2 linked regions of the Lepisosteus oculatus genome follow. The protein of the gene in region 2 purifies or fractionates together with the protein of the main gene of each other region. This does not show direct contact. Links are inferred from orthologs where the notes say so. Each region holds a gene or a part of one and is shown on either strand. Other genes may lie near its edges.

Region 1 (10,078 bases), on a different chromosome or scaffold from region 2:
AGAAGAGAGGACAGAGGACTGGGTCAGGATCCAGGGCTCTGCTGCAGTGTGTTAACGATCCCCGATATGAAGCAGGTGTGGACACAGGTGGGAGTACTGCCGCAGCCCAGCAGCTTTAACCTGGAGCTCGGCTGGAAGAAACCCAGAGGACACGGGGAGCACGAGAGCAGGACCGGGAAGGCCTGGCCGGGAGGAACACTGCCCCCTGGGAACCTCCACGAACGCCGTCTCCTCTGGTCTTCGCGCCAGACGAGTTCTTAATCACAGGCTGAACGTTTTTCGGCTTTCTGTGTGGGGGCATATTTATGAACTTGCTTTCAGCTTTTGAAAGGTCAGATTTGGGGTTTTTCACTGGTCTCAGCTGTACCGGCTACTGCTGCGCACTGTATTGTTGTGCGTTTGATAAATAAACTTTGATTTGATTTGAATAAACTTTGATTTGAGTCTCAGAAGTGCCCTCCTTCAGGTGTGCTGCCCGAAACGGACCCAGCTGGGCTTCTGCAGAGCCGCATGCTCACTGTGGGCGTGTCTGACACAGATTCACTCTCACCCCCAAGTCTGTTCATCATCAACCCATCAAACTCTAACCGTTTAGTCAGAAGTAACCAGCTAACCCTTGAAGTGGGGGTACTGCTGACATTCAGGGCTGACTGATGAAACAGGTTAAATGAAGTCACCAATGAACAGTGGAGACTTCAAGCTCAGGTGGCACGAAAACCAGCAGATACAGTGCTGGGAGCCACTGATCTCGAGTGAGCAGGCTGGCCAGTTCAACCCGGGTGCGTCTGTCCCCCACGTGCAGCACTGCGCCTGGGTGTGCATGCGCACGAAGGTACTCACATGGCTCCAGTGGAGACTGGCCGGTCGTAAGGAATGACGGGCCCAGGCGGACGCCCCTTCCTCTGTGAAGACAAAGCCCAGCTCTATGAACAGGAGAGAGTGTTCCATCCGAAACTGCGGCTCTCTCGCGGCATTCCGCGGGATTTCCCACAAGCTCATCGCCGGGTGCCTCCTTACCTTCTTGGGAACAGGACTGCCCCTCTGGCTGGATTCGTCGTCCACCTGTCTGCCTCGCTGGAGGGGAGAGAGGAGAGGAGCAGACATTATTGAGCCCGCTGGCCGTGCTGGGGGGGCCGTGCGCCCCCAATCGTCCCCACGCCAGTGGTTCCCAATCGAGGTCCTGGTGACCCCCACAGACCTGCTGGTTTGTGTTCCAGCCGAGTCCTCAGATACACAATCAAACTCTTCATTGACTTAATATAATAACATTAATGTGAACTGTTTGTTCCTGGCTGGAATGAAATCCAGCAGGTGTGAGGGTCACCAGGACCAGGAGAGAAACCACTAGCCTACACCAAAGGGGCACGAGATCAGGGAATGACTTCTGCAGAACTGGGGAAAACTTCCTTTGTCTAAGTAATCTATTACAGTTACAGGTTAGTTCTAGAAGGGCTTACATTCTTTTGCATATAAACTATGTAATCTGATTGCCAGACAAACTGGATTCATCGAGAGTGCTAATGACACTTCCCCATTCTCACCTAAATAAAAATACAGTTGTGAAATGAAGGCAGATGAAACTACAATGCAATTTAAGATGTTGTAAGCGATATCTGTCACTTAAAAGTGTTAAGTCACCCCTACGGCTATAGAAGGCCTCTGCTGGCCAGGACAGGGGAGAGAGGTCAGAGGTCAGAGGTCAGAGGTCGAGCTCGCACCTTGCTGGCTGGGAGGTCCACAGCTGGTCTTTGGGGTGGCTTCTCCCCATCAGAGAACAGCTGTTTAGCCTGCAGAGGAAGGGAGGATCACACAAGAGATCTAACAGTCCTGAACAGATCTCATCATTACCACCTTATTCATTATCCTCATCACTGGCAGCTACAAGTCACAGCGAGTCCTGCATTTTTTAGAAACATTACGCCATGCCCCACTAATCCACAATCACTTCTCCACCACAAAAGGCACGGCTCAGCAGCTAAATAAGTCTGAGGGATGGAGGTTCATGTTGCCACGATTAGCTCATTTTATATCATGTAGAATATTTCAAATGAACACACAGAAATCCATTTCTAAAATGTATGAAATGCATCTGTACCACAGAACCAAATACTCTTCACATTCTGAGTATTATCAGCTTCAGAGCAAAAATCATGTGAGGTTATGGGGTGTATTTATCCACTCTCAGCAAGAAAGATTCTCTATTGTTATTCTTGAATAATAATATAATAAACTCTTCATAGTAATTACAATATTCAAACACTAAAAAATAAAGCTTGTTTGCTGTTTCTATAGAAGTCTTTTAAAAAATAAAACTCTACAATAAGACGTTATCAGCGACCTGTACAACTAAACTCATTTGACGAAATAAACTAATTAACCTACAAATCCTACACTGAACCATTTTAAGACACCACAGCAGGTGGTTTTGTAAGCATAACAAAAACAAAAGTATTTGCATCATAATGTTTTTTGATGTATGAAAATCTGAAGAGATGTTATTATTGTGCAGTGTGTATTCATTTCATCCCAAACTTTATGATCCCCGGGGGAAATCTGGTTTTTGACACAGTGCAATAAAACAGGAAGAGAAACATTACCAACGGAGCAGACAGTACAATAGAGTTACGGGAGATAAGGTGATACTTTACACTGTGAATCGTATTTTTGTATAATTCCAGAATTAGGATCTAATTGTGCAAGCTTCCCTGATAGAACCGACACTGTATGTTCCCATATCACAACTTGTGCAAACAGCTTGTTTTCCAGTCTCCCAGGAAAACATACTTTTATAATGCTGCTGAAAATCTTAACTAAAGTCTTTCAAGACGACGTGGAAGACATTACCCCCTGGTGTCCCCTGTACGACAGCACCCGCCTTTGACTTCTGTATCTGCTGCTGCACCCCCAGACTGACTGAAAAGCCCCCTCCCTCAGGCTGCGCAGGTGCAGGTCCACGGCCCGGCCCGGCGCTCTCACCTGCTCCAGGCAGTTCCGGCACGCCTCCCTGATCAGCACCTCGGGCTGCACCTCGTCGCCCATGTTCTCCTTCACGTTACTGGCTGCCTTCTGGAAGAACTGCAGCGCACAGGGGCAGAGGGGCTGGTCAAGGTGATGTCACATCCTGTTCACTGCACTACCCAAGCCCTGTGTTACTGCAATGCACCTGTACTGCAAGTATCACACTACGCAGGACATGGCTGTCAAAGAGGCCTGCAGTCTCCCAGCTCAGTACATAGCATTTCAGCCACTGTCTGCTATCATAGGAAGCTGCAGTATTTTTATCATGCCAACAAGCCTTTCCCACGATGGAGAAAAATGTTCATGGTGAGAAGCACCCCTCCCAGCCCATGGCCCCCTGCTCTGGGCCTCTGGTCTTAGCTCTCCGCCGCTGTGGAGCTCTGGGTCCAGTCTTTCCGTGGCAGCAGCGCGCTGGGAGTGAAGGCGGTGTCAGGGGGTCAAGAAATAAACCTCTTCCTGCGGGGCGGGGTGTGCAGGGGCGCCCCCCCACACCGCGCCTGCCCCCCGCGGGCTCACCTTCATGTACTTGTTGAAGACGGCCAGGATGTCCTCGTTGAAGCTGGGCTGCAGCACCGCGCGCAGCAGGTCCATGGAGATCACAGGGTCCGTGTAGCTGGGAAGGGTGGGGACACGGTCAGCACGCTCCTGTCTTTACAGTACCGCCCCGCCACACAACACACCGAGCCTCGACTGCGCCCTGAAACACCATGACAACCCCCTGCACCCCAGCTGGTGGAAACCCTGGAGCTCTTACATGAAGCATTTTGACGCCTTCTGCTCCGTCTTCCCCGAAAGGCAGAATCAGCCTTCAACGCCGCGATACACAAACCAATTTTTGAATTTAAAGAAAACATTAACCACTTACAGAATCCAGTCGGGGGTGGGAGGGAATCTTCACAGCAAGAGCAGAAATCTATCATCACAAGACATGCTGCAAAGCACCAACTAAACAAGCTGTTTCTTACACACACACACAAAGTCGTATTACCTGACTGTCATCTGGGAGCGCCGACCCCTGCGGTGAACCTGGCGGTGCTTTATCATGATGTTCCACGGGTTCTGGAAGACGAGAGGGAGGGTCACCCAGGCGGAGGACGGACAAACTCCATGGCCGGCACCCTGTCACGAACCCCTCAAACTCTTGCACCAGCCCACAGCCAGCACAGTCAAGACCTGGCATCGCGGGCTTCAACGCACGACAATTAAAGAACGCATTACAATTCTACCCACCCCCGAGTCCGTATCTTCAGTTTTAGCGCTTTTAAGCTATTTGTTTTAAAAGGCTAAATAGGGTTAAGCTGCTCTGAAGCGAAATTATGAAAACCTCACGCCGAGGGGTTCGGATGTTCACCCAAGCCCGAGAACTGGCAGGGAAGGGGAACTTCTGCTCGCCTTGACGCAGGTGACAGGACCTGCGGGCTGCGGTGCTTCTAGGCGGCCGGGGGGTAAACTCTCACCACAGCGACCTGCTCCGGGGCGTCCTGCTGCGGCAGCCAGTCCCTGCGCCCCTCGCTGCGGTGAGCCCCCATCCTGCCCGGCGTCGGACCCTTTCACGCCTGGTGCTCCTGGGGACGTGGGATGTCCCTCCTGGCTTCAGTTACAAAAAAATCAAAAAATAAAACAGCGGCGCGATCAGCAGGCGAACTTGTTGCGCACAGACAACAAGGCGTTTCACGGCGCAGGACGGAGTCTCATTGTGAAAACGGATGAGCCAGCGCCGGGTCCACGCTACAAAAAAAAAAAGCTCAGGGGCGGTGCCGGCCCTTTCAGGATCCCCCTCTCCCCGGGGGTGCAACGCCCGAAGACGAGTTGTCGGCGGATTATGTTGTTAAATCGAGCGCTGCTCCCGTCTTCACCGACACAGACAGGATGCTCCTGCCATCTCGCGCAAAATCGCTACTTCCTCGAGCTCCGACGTCACCGCCCGCCGACGGGCTGCGTCATCGCGGAGCGCGAGTGAAAAAAAAAAAACCCAACCCCAGAGCCGTTAGGGCGGCCATGATTGAGAGGGGCGCTTGATGACAGCGTCAGCTTGACTAGAAACCGTGTCGTTCAGACACACTCGCGGAATAGGTAAAATCGTGGTAAATACTGTTCCAAACACTAAGAGTACGCCGTGACCTCACTATAGTTAATTACCCAATCTCTTTCCGCGACGTTGTTTGCACTCGACGTACGGCAGCCATGTTGTTGAGGGGCACAGCGCGCTTTTCGAGGATCAATCTTTTCCTCGGATGTTAAAAGATTGATTTCTGTACGGTGCTTCTTTTCAAACAGACCGGTCTGAAGAAACATCATTGCTGAACCTAGTTGGGATAAAATAGCTATCACCTTATTTTTTTTAGAAAGATTTGTGTCAAAACAGAACCTTTTCATTATTGGCCAATAGTAAGGAGTTGCAGAGTGTTGGTTTTGTGCGTTTCAAATGTTAAAAACGTACTAACGTTTGTAAATCACTTAAGAAGAAAATACTCATATGTTTGATGTAAATAACCAGAAATATAACCTGAGTGTACTACTATTTGAGGGATACAATACCTCCGCTTTACCGGCGGTGGCTCCATAGCTCAGGGGTTAGAGCACTGGTCTTGTAAACCAGGGGTCGCGAGTTCAAATCTCGCTGGGGCCTGCCACAAGCTTTTGTTTTTTTTTAACTGAAAAAAACACTGTTGTTCGGAATACATATGTAATTAATCACAGACATAGTCTGATTTTCAAATGTTATTTTAAATACACACATAGTGTTCTTGTAGAGAGCAGTTGATAGTCTATGTTAGTTGCATCTTACAATCCTCTGAGCAGGACAACTCCAGCTACAGCTCTTTTAGGATAGACTTTTTATTTTACTTTTATTTTTGTTTTGTTTCGTGTTAATTTGATTATTTTTTCTGGCTTTGGCAACACTGATTGTACCCAATCGGTCATGCTAATAAAGCACCTTGAATTGAATTGAATTGACTTTCCGACTTCGAATCACTTTATATTGATAACATTTTTTAAAATTAAAAAGTAAATTTTTTTAATTATCATTCTTTGATAGTTATATCACTAAGTTCGAGCTTCCAGTTTTATGTTTGTACTGTAATATGGTCTTAATTTCGACACTAGACCATGCCGTATCGAAAGCTCCTAGCTCAAAGAGCTCTGTCTGGTCTTGGCAGCGTTAGCCAATCGCAGCGCTGTCAAGAGTCAGACATGGGCTAGCCAATCAGAATGTCGGGACGATGCAACGTGGGTAGATTCTGACCAATCACGGCCCGCCACTGAGGGGGTCAGTCAGTCACATGTCGCAGAGCTGCCTGGAGTTTTTGGTCGTGTTGCGTTTCTCACCTGTATTTAACAATTTTTTAATATCTTCATTATATGCGAAATAGCCGTCTCTCAGCTTGTTTTTTTTTTAAATTTCCGGCATCGTTGCTTCAACATTTCCCTTGCTCTTCGAATAAATGCACTTTCTATTTGTAATGTAACCGGCTGAGGTTTTGATTTTTCCAATTTTATCATATGCATCAGATGACTCCGGTTTTTTTTTAACCGAGACTTTTATTTTCTTTAATTTCTGCAACAGCCCTTGGGTAGCTTCAGGAGGGAGCCGACGCGAGAATCGAACCCACAACCCTCTGGTCTCCGTTTTCTCAGCGAGAGAGCATGACGTCAGCAGTTCGTGATGGCGCTGCAGAAACAGGCGAGATCGTTTCACTTTATCAGGAAAAAAAATCTTAGACATAATCGAAACACTATATGTACGTTTAATGTATGCATTATATAGTTGTAATTCCTGAATGACATTCAGAGGGCTTAAACCACAGACGTTTTTTTTTTATTTTGTTGTTGTCTGCACCTTTTAAATACGTTTATATACTGTACATAAGGTTTATTACACGTCTATAATAAAATAGTTTAAAATTGATATTATTGTTAGCATTGTAGGTGTAATCAGGTGAAAAAAAATGTAGTTTAATTTATTGCACATCAAATACGAAATAGTATACAGCAACATCTAATTTATTTTAACTCGTGACTTCTGAATTGCAACAGAGGATTTTCCAATATGAATTCACTGTAATAAAATTTACAAAAAAAACTGCACGCACATAAAAGGTTTTACACTACTTTAAACCACGTTATATCATCTGTACAACGGTAGCTTTCTACAGATTGTTATTGTAAAAAAAACATCCAAAACAATCCATTGAATAAAAGGATATTTACCCTTCTCCACGTTTAATACTCGACAAGGGGAAAGAACACAACAGGGTACAAAAATAATCGAATAGAACTATAAAGCAAAAGCTGACAACAAACTTTGTTGAAATTGTGCACAAAAAATGTCAAAGAAAGTCTTGAACTAACTGCATTGTAAATCAGTACAAATCAATCTGTACGCCAAGCGAGTGCAATACAGCTCTAAGGGTTCTGCACAGCCTGCAGTCAGGCCGGTTAGTGCATCTGGCCTAGACGTATGTGTGACCAGGACCTCCTACAGGTGACGCGGAGAAGCTGAAGTCTGAAGGAAACACATGCAGGGGAAAAAACCCACATAGGACAAGGGCCATCATATGCGAGAAAGGATCAGGGTAAAGGTGCACTCAAGTAGGGGTTTGAGGCTCGTTTTCAGAACTCATTTTTATTTCTCCATATATATTATATATACATGTCTGTCGCTGACTGAGTGCGTACTGCTGTAGAGCTCCGAGCTGTGCAATTGCAAACTCCCTGCAGTTCCCTGGCCCCTTGGCCCCCCTGCCAGCACCGCTGGCAAAGCAACACCTGGGCAGGTGAGCTTCCTGGTGGCTGTGGAAGCCCTCTGCGCAAACCCCCCCCCCCATCCCCCCTGCGCCGCCCTCTGGGAGAAACAGGGCAGCAGCACCAAGAGCGATGCTGCTGGTCCCCGCATTAGTCTTGGGGGCGAGGCACTGCTTCTTTCATCCCATCATCTGTCCACCCTCTCCCTCGCTCGCTCGCTATCCCGTCTCATCCTCTGGCGCCACTTGCAGGGAGGAAACTGCAGGAGTTTTTCCATCTGTGTGCTGAATCCCCAGGAATTTCCAGCCACAACATTTTTAAAACGCAGGCTTACAGACAAGAGGAGGTCATTCTACTCGCCAGGCTTGTTTGGGTTCAAGTGCATCGAGGAAACACGAACCATAAAAATAAACACGGGTGTTCTTGCACAAGTTCTCACTTTAGTCCCCAACTCCCTTACAAATGGGCTTGTCTAAAATCCTTAAAAGAAAGTCCAACATTCCTTGCTCCAGTCTTGTCCAAAGTTGTTTGGGCAACTATAACAGCTGTGTACATTGCAAGACATTGGTGGATCAGATCCAGTATCAGAGTAATAGATAATAGACAAATATAAATGATAAGTGCTATTACTGTGTCAATGTTAATTATAACAGCAGGGCTGCTGGGTTGTGTCCACAAGACACACGAAGTTCAGTGCACAACAGGTGGAGTGCAGTGATCATTCTGGGACACTACTGATTACAATGCCTTCACGAAATCTCTGGTCTTCAGAACTTGGGGGGAATTGGGAACCTTTCTATCATGTTGTGGTGGCAGCAGTGGTTCCCAGCACCAGGAATCCAGCAGCTTTTCCAGGTCCTAGTTACAGCTCTCTACCTGGGAGACAATCTGATTGGACTGGACTATTTTCTCCCTTGGCCATGGCCTTGTTGGGGACAGTGAAGGGTAGTGGCTTTGCCTCTTTTGACAGGTTACATGTACAGGTCCCTGGTGCAGACACTGGCTTGAGTGAGGTGCTTCTCAGTTGCCCCAGTCCACCCAGCTTCCCCAGTTTAAGGAGACAAGGAAAAGCTGGTGGGTTCCCGCTGCCAGAGGATGGAGTTGGGGACTCCTGTTACAGGTACTGAGTACGGGGTGTCTGACACACAGTCCTGCTGTCTCCCGGTGGAGTGCTAGTTTAATTCATCACCCCATTTAGGAATATCAGACACAGGTCAGGAAAATATTTTTAAAACAGACTGCATACATTACAACACAACATTATTGGGTTACAGACAGAGAGCTTAAAGATGTTTTTTTTTTTCCTTTTTACTACTTGGATAAATTTCCAAGTATGTATATATAATGTATACATATATAAAATAAACAAAGACAAATACACAAAATGTTTAAGTCAAGACACCGATAATCTATAAACTAATCTCTATGAAGGTCAATTTCTATATATTCATTTATGGTTTCTCTGTAGTTTAAAAATATCTGACCATGCAATTTAATTTCCAAACAGGAAACACAACATTCATTTCCAGAAAACAAAGTAAGACATAGGAATCAAAGGCTTATAAAAATAAACATCAGGGAAATTCTGCTGATTGTGTCCTAGAGCAGTAGCATTCATTGTTTTTACTTTTCCATAGAAGATAAAGATTCTTTTTTTTTTAATAACACTTTGGTTTAGTTTAAAACATTTCCTATTTCAAATTGTATAATTCACAATAGCAAAATTAAAAACATTTAAAAAGTTTAGTCGTGTTAAATTAAAACGTATAAAGATTTTGCATCTCAAAATAAAAAAATAAAAAACTGCCACTATGGAAAAAAAAATCAACATAAAACCTTCATAGACGAAGAGACGACATTCAATTCACTTCCTAAAACGGCTTCAATACAGATCAATACAAGAGAGGAGAGAAAACACATTATTCACACGGATCTCTGTACACTATGTACATGTCTTTGCTGGTGACAGAAACACACTGGGGTTCGAGTATCGGCTTGATGCTGCTTTTCTCCTGATCCACCAGATCGCTCAAGTTCCAGGGCTATCAGGCGCCTCTTTGATAAAACTACGTTACAACTGAAAGACCTAGCCTGCCCCCTGCCCCATTTTCTTTTTCTCTTGCAGTCCTTGCAACAGCAAAATATAAAAATAACCCGCCAATAGCCAATTTATATACAGATACATACACGGATGGGACAGAAGCGTGAGAGAGGCACAGGCAAGAAGCACGAGCCCTGGAAATCCCAGAGTACAAGTCTTCCACTTCAATCAGGCAGAGCTCGTGCTCTCTGAAAATGAAAACAAAAATTGCGC
Region 2 (9,936 bases):
TCTACCTAACATTGCAGCAGATCATTAAACTGATTTCACTAGAGATACTCAAATGTTGATGGAGATGACGAATCAATCACCCAAGAGACATTGAGATGAGATGGGAGTAGAGGTTTGATAGATTCTTGAGGCCTGAATTGCATTTCCTGTGAATATTTGTTTTAATCTGCCAACCACTGTACTGTACGTAAATGCTTGGGTTTGTCTGGTCAAGTTGACACATTAGCCATGACTGCTATTGCATCCTACCATGTACCAGAAGTACAGGAAAAACCAATCCTCTTGTGAGGTCACTTACATCAGCCTTTTTTTTGTCATATCCCAGCACATTGACCCACCATTCCCAGTACTCTGGCCAGGATACCAATGGTACATGTCAAAGGCCTTGCATTTTGTTATTTCATTTGTCGATAGTCCCTTCCTTCAAGGTTACCCAGTCCTTGATCCAGGTAATTGACACCTGTCGTGTCTGACTAGAGTCAGTCCCTGACATAGTGATAGAGGGATGCAGTGGGTGTTACTCCCCCTTCTCAGGCAGCCAAGAAAGCAGGTGGAGGCTGGGGAGGAGGATGGGGAGATTTCAAACCCCAATAGTTTTTCTAGATGCATCTTTAAAAATCACTTCCATTCATTAATCAGAAAGTAAGTGGTAGTTACACAAGAAGTGATTTAAAGACATACTGTAGGTAGTAAGGCAGACTTGCTTTTGTTTTCTGTGTCACAGTTTTTCTTGACAGGACTAGGTTTATACACGTTTTCTTCAATATCGGACATAGAAGATATATTAAAAACACCGCAAATATTATTGTGTTCACCACTCATTTGTTGCATTTTTAAAGCCTTTTAGTCTATATTTCAAGTTGCAAACAATTTGACTCCGTCTAATTCCTTTTCACCTCAACCTCTCTTGTCAGTTGCCCTAACTGGGTCTCACATGCTGCCAAGGCTGAACCTGAACTGAACACAGTATCTTGCAGTGAACACCTTGTGGTTCTTGCATTACATAAAGTATCGTATGGGTCCTTCACTCATTATTTGTAGCTCATTGTTACTGTATTTTCATTCCTGGATTCTGATAAATCCTTAAGCTTTCAGTGTCCATTTGAGTATTGCGAGTCCATTGTGTTCTGTCTTATTTTTAAGAAACTGTATTTTTAAATATTTTATTGTATCTTTAAATTACTTCTGCACATATTCCATGCCTTCTAACACTGTGTATTCAAAGACATAGAAATTGTATTTAAATGAGCATTTTATGGAACATCCTTCATACTCATACAGGCAAACTGCAGGGGTCTCTAACCTCGTTGCTGGACAGCCCCAGTCCAGTTAGTCTTATAGGTTGTCCTATGTCTAATATTTAAAGATCAGGAACAATTGTTTAAGTCATTGATATTTTAAGCAAGTAATGTTTCAGTGAAGGAAACACTGCCCCTTGAGGGCAGAAGAATATTCTCGTGTTTCTTTCAAATCCATCCATCCATTTTCTAACCACTCTATCCATTTCAGGGTTGTGGTGGAGCTGGAGAAATACGGGTTTTTATTTTCATTGTTTTGTATTGGTAATTGATTGGATTGTTGATTGATTGATGTAATTAATGCCACACAGTAGGTGTAGAAAACGGGGGTTTTCAGGATGACTGTGCTGTATGTAGTTAGGTGTCACTATTACCATTATTAATAATGGAGGCTTCTTTTAGAGTCTTGTAGATCCTGCTAAATAATGTTTCCTGGACCTTAGGACAACGGTTCTTGAGTTTGTAAGAGCTCAACTCTATGAAGCCACTTTATCATAAGATCTGTGTCTGTCACAGTCATACATTTTAAATATGATAAATATTAATAATAGGATAAAAATGATAAATATGAGCATCAAACATCAATTTTGGGATGAACTCAGACTCATTGTGTTATTAACCATTTATAATTAACTTAATTGTTATGAATTCTATTATTAACCATGACTAAACCAAGCTTCAATCTTGATTATGATTTCATCATAATATATACAGAGCTTATCTACAGTATGTATAAATGATAAGATAAACCTCAAATGAGCTGTTTTTTTGCTGCTGCTGTTTTAAAACAGAGAGTTTGCAATAAGGCAAATTTTACATTTAAAAAAGGAAAGGAAGAAAAAAACCTTTTATCCAAATATCAACTGTTTGAAGTAGTTGCATGACACTAAAACATAAAATATTTGTTCCTTTTACAACTGTGCTTTGTGTTTTCATTGTAGTTTTCCTATTCTGCCCTGTGAAAACAGAAAGTAAACAGTATTATTCTTCTATATTACTCTACCTGCTAATATTTTCTAAACTGATACCCAATAAGGGTGTTTGTGTTAGTTTCTTCATCTTGTCTTGACTTTTCCTTTGGTATGGTAAGATGTGATATAGACTTGACATTGGCATCAAAACAAGTCTACCTGTATCTCTTTTTGCTGTTCCTCTCTTGGTTTTGACATACTTACAGTTTTTCTATCCACAATTCAAGAAAGACATTTCTTGTAATTCCATAAAACCTTTCTTGCAAAGCATAATTATTTAAATCTTATGTTTCCTCAGAGTCATTGATAAAGTCAGTTTGGTGGACATCTTCAGAATGAACAGTGAAACATGAAACAGAGGACACAAGTGAAAACTACATGGAAGTACATTTAAAACTGAGAACACAAGGCATTTTTTTGTATAAAGGATTGTGTAAGTCTGGACCAAGTTACCCAACCATGTTGTTGAAGCTGATACCCATCTGGATACGATCCTTAGATCAATTAGCTATTAAGTATGAAATTGTATATGGTAGTCCTTTCATTCATAACCTTTCTTAAATTTTATTTTATTGCTTTGACCCACATATACACATTCTTTGGTTCTCCATTTAAAATACACAGGTTGACAACTGTTCGTTTTATTCTTTTAGTTCAGGTTCTGAGAGCTGTCTGCAGTCCTCAGACAGGAAGTGTAGCAAAACATTCTCATTTCATTGAGGTAACAGGAGTAAAATGTATATCCAGTAAAACATAAATATAACATTTCTGCATTTTGTATGTAATATTATATAGTACATATATTATCGTTTTGTAGTATTTGCCAAGAAAGACCTAAAAAAAATTAAACACTAAGATTTAATTTCGGGAAGTGCCTTGCATGAACAGCTTTTTTCAGGACATTTTGATGGGGTTTAGTTCTGAGCTTTGACAAGGTCATTGTAAAATGTGGAATTTCTTCTCCTGCAGCCATTCTTTTGTATATCTGCTTGTATGTTTATGATTGTTGTCTTGCTGCAAGATCCACTTTAGGTTCTGCTGCATGGCCTGACATTCACCTCCAGAGTCTTCGATGATGGCAGGACTTTCAGGTTCTGGGGCAGCAACGCTGTTCTAAACCATCACACTTCCAGCACCATAATTGACCACTGGAGTGAAGTTCTTCTGTTCAAAAGCCGGGTTTGGTTTTTGACAGCTAAGGTTTCTCAGAGGCCCCAGAGTTCTACCTTTGACTCATTGGGAGAATATTGTTCCAGAAAACTTGTGGATTATCTATGTGCTCTTTGGCCTAACAAGAGCACCATTGTTGTTCAGTTGTTTTTTGAACAATGACTCACAGTAGCCAAGGTGAGAGCGGCCTGCAGTTCCTTGGACTTACTCTGGGGTTCTTTATCACTTCCGTGAAGTTTTGTGTGGTTTGTTCTCTTGAGTTATTTTGGGAGGATGGCTGTTCCTGGATGGAGTGATTGTAGTCTTGAAATTTCTACATTTGTAGACGATCCATCTGACAGTGGATGGACAGAACCCCATATAATTAGAAATGGTATTTTAACCCTTTCAGGACTAATGGGGATTACTACTATTTTTTTATCTTTATATACAGTAGGGTGGGGACTTCCAAACTCAGCCACCAAGATCTACCCAATTATTTAAACACCTGATTCAAATTATTCTCTAGGGTTTGGCTTACTTTTCCATGTCCCCTGTACCTTAATTAATCATTTTTTAACTCATACATCATTTTGTTTGGGTGTTTATTGGGAGTTGGGTGGGGGGAGTCGGTGTTTGTGTCTACTATGTCCTGTCCAGGGTGTACCCTGCCTTACCTCTATTGTTTGCGAGGCTAGGCTCCGGCTCCCCACGACCGTGAATTGGAAGAAGCAGTTAGAAAACTGATGGATGGGTGGTTGGATTAAAACTGGTTTTGATTCAAGCAGCTGTCTTGGTAAAAATATTAAATTTGTGATTCAAACTTTTTCTCGGCACTGTAGGTGTTCTGCTGCGGAAGATATTCTGCTACGTATTCATGGAAAACAGTGATATTTAAATTCCAGTGGATTTTTCTGCCTCTGCACATATTAACTGGACAGATAGAACAACCACTGAACATTACTCTCATGTAGACATGGTGTTAGGCATTGCCAAATGCATGGGGCTGAGTTTTCCCAAGTTACCCGGTCCTTGATCCCAGCCCTGAGCTTTTTGAAAAGACCTTTCTACAATAAAATGGTGTTAAAATGCCAACAATGAATCTCATTATTTTATGAGACGTCCTTGAAAAAAAATCATTTAAGTCAATGTTTTAAACTGCTTGTTTCTTTTTTCTAACAATGTTTTATTATATTACAGACTACAGTAAAACCACAATGAGGGGTTCAGCGATTTTAGAGGGAATCAGGGTGGAGTGTCTCCAGTGGTAATAAATACTGGACACGCTGCAGTAAAACCCTCCCAGGTTTGCCTTTCTAAACTAGCACTACGGACAGTTCAGGGTATGCAAAAATCTAAAGAACGATATCTTGCATTTTAACAGAAGCATGCAAATGAAGCTGGATCAATGCAGTATTAAAAATGCGGGGTGTAATTTGCATAATTATATTAGGAAAGGTTCCTTACTTTACACTGCGCGCCACCATATTAACTGCATGTTCACATTATATTTCAACTTAAAAGACAAGCATTTGAAATCAGATTGTTGTGACTTCTTTAAAGTTTCCCAAGATTCCCATTGGGCACAGTTATTTTTTAAAATAGAGCGCACTGAATACTTAATTGTAAAGAAAACGAAGACTTAATTTGCAAGGCAGAAGCATCAAACTGTCCACACACCTGCGTGCATTGTAAAATATTAACTCTTTTGTTTTAATTCATATAAATACAACGTTAAAGCCGGTTGCACATTCAATAGATATTTTCATATATCAAATTAATAACAAAAATTATAAAAGTAAAAAAAAATACGCATTTCTTCTAACGTTTTTACTTCCTGCTTTAAAAACTGCAGTCTTGACCAGAATCTCTCCGCGGAAGAATTTTACCATGCAGATTACAGTACGAGTTCAAAAAATGAATTGTGGTTCGTGTTCAGATTAAATATCTATGTATAAAGTAGTTAAACGTATTGTTATGCGTGTGTATATAATGTATGGAATATACTTTCTAAAAAAACGAACCGAGAGGCTATAACCTGTTTGGAAACTGTCTAATTTGCAGGCGCTATGTTTTACGGCGGACCGATACTTGTTTACAGGATTGTAGCTGTACGGCATAACTCAAACTATCCTGTAGAGGGGAGGTAAGGGAACAAGTTGATTGTAAATTGCATGTAAAATTAAATTGAAACAACTGTTCAAGCGGACTGATTTCTTCAGCAATCCTGAGGCGACCTCACAGCCTTTGCTCGTTGTTTTCTACATGACAAAGGTTCTGCACGCGTGCCTTCTAAAGGTAGGTGTAAAAATAGATGCGCCTGGGAAGTAACGATTAATCAAAAAAAAGTTTTATTTTGCAAGAGTTTCGGTATGTACAGCAGGCAGGGCCTTCTCAGAAGGGAACTCCTGACATGCATTTGAAAGGGAGCCCTTTTTTAATTTGAATGCGGCGAAGTGTCATTTTCCGAACAGGACAAGAATCACCATTTGTTGCACTGCTAAGTTTGAATAAATGCGGCTAGGTGTTGGACTCGAGTTATTGGTGACGCGGTGCTTCAAGAAAAGCCATTTGATTGAAACCGTAAATTAAAAAAAAAATCGTGGTCTGAAAAATTAAATCACAAAAGGTGGTTAATTTCACGGACGTGCAAGTTTCATGTCGGGTGTCAAACAGTACCGTGCACTTCAAGCTATATATATATACTTGCAGTATAGTAGTACAGTAGTTGTTGTATGGAGCTGACATCGAAATTGACAGACATGTCGTGCTTGTGACACTGGGGTGCCGAGTGTTGCAGCGCACAGTCGCATGACAGTGGAAAAGTCTGGGTCAGTTTAACGCTTTTTATCTTTATTTCGGCCCACCCGCTACCCAGTTAGTTAGTTTGGGGGCATGGCATGATTTGCAATACTTTGGATGAGCAGGATTATAACTAAGATTATCGTTCGCTGAAACGCATTTGGAAACCTGGCCGTGAAGTGTCTCCGGGAGCTGTCTTTTTTTTTTTTCTCCCTCCCGTCCCCAGCCCCACTCCCGTGTGAGAAAATTACACATCCGATGTGTGCGCATACACACCTGACGGGTTAGTCTACTGTCCGTGTTTGCTGTAGCCAGTGGAGAACATCTCGACTTATTTCCTTTTTTTTCGGTATGTGTTGGTTTTAAAGGGATAGCATCCAATTTCTCAAACCAGGAAATCCGCCTTTAGCGATGCGCTGCTTGAGTAGGCTGGAGGATATATATATATATGTATGTATTTTGTCGTGCTCTTTCTGCGATGTACAGTCTTTAACCCGTCGTGTGCACTGCCACTGTCTGCCGGGGCCGTAAGATGCTCCGTGCGGCTGTGAGACAGACTCGCCAGGCAGCCCCCCCCGCCGTGCCGGCGGTGCGAAACGGGACCCTGTACTTCGCAGGAGCTGTTTGAATTTTCTTTTTTTCGCAAGTCTGAAGATATTTTTGGGAGGTTTTAAAAAATATTGAACAGATACACCTCGCGCAAGTGTGTTGTAGTTCTGACTTGTCACCGTTTGAGGAGCATTACGTTTCTTTTAAGCACCGGTCGTATTTTTTTTATCCAGTGCCAACAGCTAAGGCGGTAGCAAATGATGAGACCTTATCGACTCTCCATCAAGGTGATCTGTAATATTCTTTTGGGCGTGCGGACTAACGTTTTGTTGGATTTCTAAACTGGATTTAAGGCGGACGACTAAAATCTCTCATTTTAAGAACCAGTTAAAACCACTCGAAAGTATAGTCTTTTGAACTGTTCTGTAGTAACATTAAAACGTTAGCCGGACACTGGGCAATCTTAAAAAAAAACGCCTTAAACGTGTTACTGTACAGTGACGGTTACAGAACACTAGCGAAACAAAAAATACATTTGACTGTATAAAAATATTGATGCGTGTACTGTGTATTTTCGTCTGATCTGCACTATAAGGCATATTAAGTACATAGACTTAAATATTCAAGTTATAAATAGTGAAGTTTAACTGCTAAAACGAACGCAGTTGGCAAAGTGACGCGCTATAGACAGAGGATTATGAGAATGTTTTAAGGCCAAAAAATGTCAGCGAGGCTAAATTTCATGGAGTTTTGCACAATCGGCCCGGCTTTACATTTACGTGGCACAGCAAGGATCGCATAATCGATTCTTGCGATCTTACTCGCATTTGTAACAGAGAACAGCTCCAAAGAAGAGGCGGGCTTTCGGGACATCTAGCCCGTTTAGCAGTCATTAATGTACGATTGATCCAAGGATCAGTTAGACAGGAGACAACGAGAAGATGGAAGCGCGTCGATATGTTTATGAATTTCTGATTCTTTTTCTCTTTCAGTTTTAATATATAACAAAACATGCTAATTTGTTTATGGGACATTTGGCTATAACAAAATAAATGAAGTACTCCGTTTTGAAACATCTTTTAACTCAACCAGTTATTGCGTTAAATAGGAGAAAATTCCTTCGGTTTGTACATCGTGAAACAAGTTTTCCATTTAATAAAGATCTCAGCATGTGAGGGAAAAAAAACTCAGTAGTAGAAATAATACAGTTGTATTTACAAACGCGTCAGCTGCAACGGCAGCTTCAGATGAAGAAGGCTCCATAGTCAAAGCGTTCTGCTTGGACCCTTTACTTCTTCCTTATTTAAGAAATATGGTGCATGACCGCAGGGTTCTAGTCAACAAACAAATTAACAGTAAACTACATCATTTTACTCTTATATAAATCAGAAAATAAAGGGACTTTGGAAATTATCCACTAAGAACCCTTCACTGGGGGTGGCACAGTAGCTAGCATTACAGCCTGGCAGCCCAGCGGTCCTGGGTTCAGTTCCTGGTGTGCTGTCTGCATGTCATTTGTATGGTCTGTCTGTGTTCGTACGGGATTCTTCCTACAATCCAAAGACATAATAGTAGGTTAATTGGCTTCTGGAACAAATTGGCCCTGGTGTAATTCTGTCTGTGTGTGCTCTGAGATGGACTGGCGTCCTCTCCAGGGTGTATCCTGCCTTGCACTCATTGTTTGCCGAGATGGATTCCGGCTTCCCAGCTACCCTGGTAGATACTAGTTAACTGATCCAAAAAAAATCTCATCCAGTTGTTTCCCGATGGAGGCAAAAGTACTGGGTTCAAAAACATGACTGGGTTGCTTGTCCCACCTTCCCAGAACCCTTCAGATAAAGCTTTAATCCACGTCCACATAGGTCCCACTTGTGTCTGCTGGATCTTGATTCACTGTTCTCTATGAAGAAATCCGTTGGGTTGACATTGTCGGTGTTTTTTGGGATCTTGAATAGTTGTAACAGGTCTCCTCAGGGTCTTCTTTGTTCAGAGACAGATTCTTTCAGTGTGTCAGGGTATGACACTCCCTTGAGCCGTGGAATGCATCTGATTGCTGGTCTCTGGACTGATTCCAGAGCAGCTATATCTTTACTATAGTGTGCAGGCCAAAATTGTACACAATATTCCAAATTAAAGATGTAAATGTAACGTACTCACACATTACGCACAGTATAGTCCGTGCACATATATACATACATGAGATGCTATGGGAAGCTCCAGAGGACCCCTGTAACTGCACATGATGTAGCGATTGGAGGTGCCGTCAAGAGCAGACGATGAGGGTAAATTGTGGAATGTTGTGAAGGCTAGGAAGCTGCCATGCTGAAAATGTCTTATAAGAGTTGATATCAGTTCATATCACAAACGCCCATGTAGACGGGAAGCAGGGGTAGACCACAGGTTACATTGCACAAACGTGTCACTCACCAGCCAAACAGTAATTGACCACGTGTGCCTTGCAAGAGACAGAATTATTTGCTAAAGGATCAGCGCTGCCTCTAGAGTGAAGCCACGGTGAAGAAGAGAGAGAGACAGGTGGGAAAAGGTTGTTTTTTTTTCTCTCACACACCCTCAGTGCCCCTCACGCACCCTCATATCTCTCCCACGTCTTCACAAAGTTAGGAATGACCATGTAATAGCCCGGCGTTGGTTAGTCCCTGCTGCTTTGGCTTCCTTGTCAACACTTCCTGTGTGTTGTGACGTCGGGGAGCCTCTTCATTGGGCCAAACAGATGGAAAAGCTGAAAGTCTTCACCAGCGCCAAAGGCAGTTATAGTCCAGGTGTTAGAAAAGTGATGCCGACAGCATTTTGATCACGAGGTGGTAGTGAGAACCACTTACTCTGTACTTCTTCAACTAGAACGGTCTAGTGCTACCGTACGTTGTACTGTATCTTCGTTTTGAGCCATTACCACAGCGACCTTACAGACCATGTACTCTACACATTACCACACTTGGAATTTAATGCTGGCCTGATGACTGAAGCTCACCGATGACAGTGCAGGAATGGCTCAGGAAATAACTCACACCCATTTGTTCGGAGGGCATCCATCTCCTTGTGGTAGACGTTCGCTGAGGTGGCCAAGAACTGAATTTCCCCACCAGTGAAGAGTATTGGGTGGATTAGTCAAAATTTCACTTTACCTATTGTCTTACCCTTTTTTCATG

Evidence for each region.
Region 1: the proteins of transcriptional-regulating factor 1 (region 2) and deoxynucleotidyltransferase terminal-interacting protein 1 purify together in Homo sapiens (affinity purification with mass spectrometry; 3 studies listed by BioGRID and IntAct, with this or other methods). This does not show direct contact. The link is inferred for Lepisosteus oculatus from reciprocal best matches to the Homo sapiens genes TRERF1 and DNTTIP1.

The regions. Positions count from the first base shown.
Region 1 is NC_090711.1:2,322,142-2,332,219, reverse strand, and holds the start of deoxynucleotidyltransferase terminal-interacting protein 1, read right to left. Parts: upstream 4,939-10,078; 5' UTR 4,785-4,938; exon of another isoform or gene 4,613-4,784; 5' UTR 4,548-4,612; coding exon 4,476-4,547; intron 4,078-4,475; coding exon 4,007-4,077; intron 3,632-4,006; coding exon 3,535-3,631; intron 3,076-3,534; coding exon 2,977-3,075; intron 1,788-2,976; coding exon 1,719-1,787; intron 1,075-1,718; coding exon 1,018-1,074; intron 903-1,017; coding exon 841-902; intron 1-840. UniProt on the Homo sapiens protein: Increases DNTT terminal deoxynucleotidyltransferase activity (in vitro). Also acts as a transcriptional regulator, binding to the consensus sequence 5'-GNTGCATG-3' following an AT-tract.
Region 2 is NC_090697.1:16,547,195-16,557,130, reverse strand, and holds the start of transcriptional-regulating factor 1, read left to right. Parts: upstream 1-5,520; 5' UTR 5,521-5,716; intron 5,717-9,936.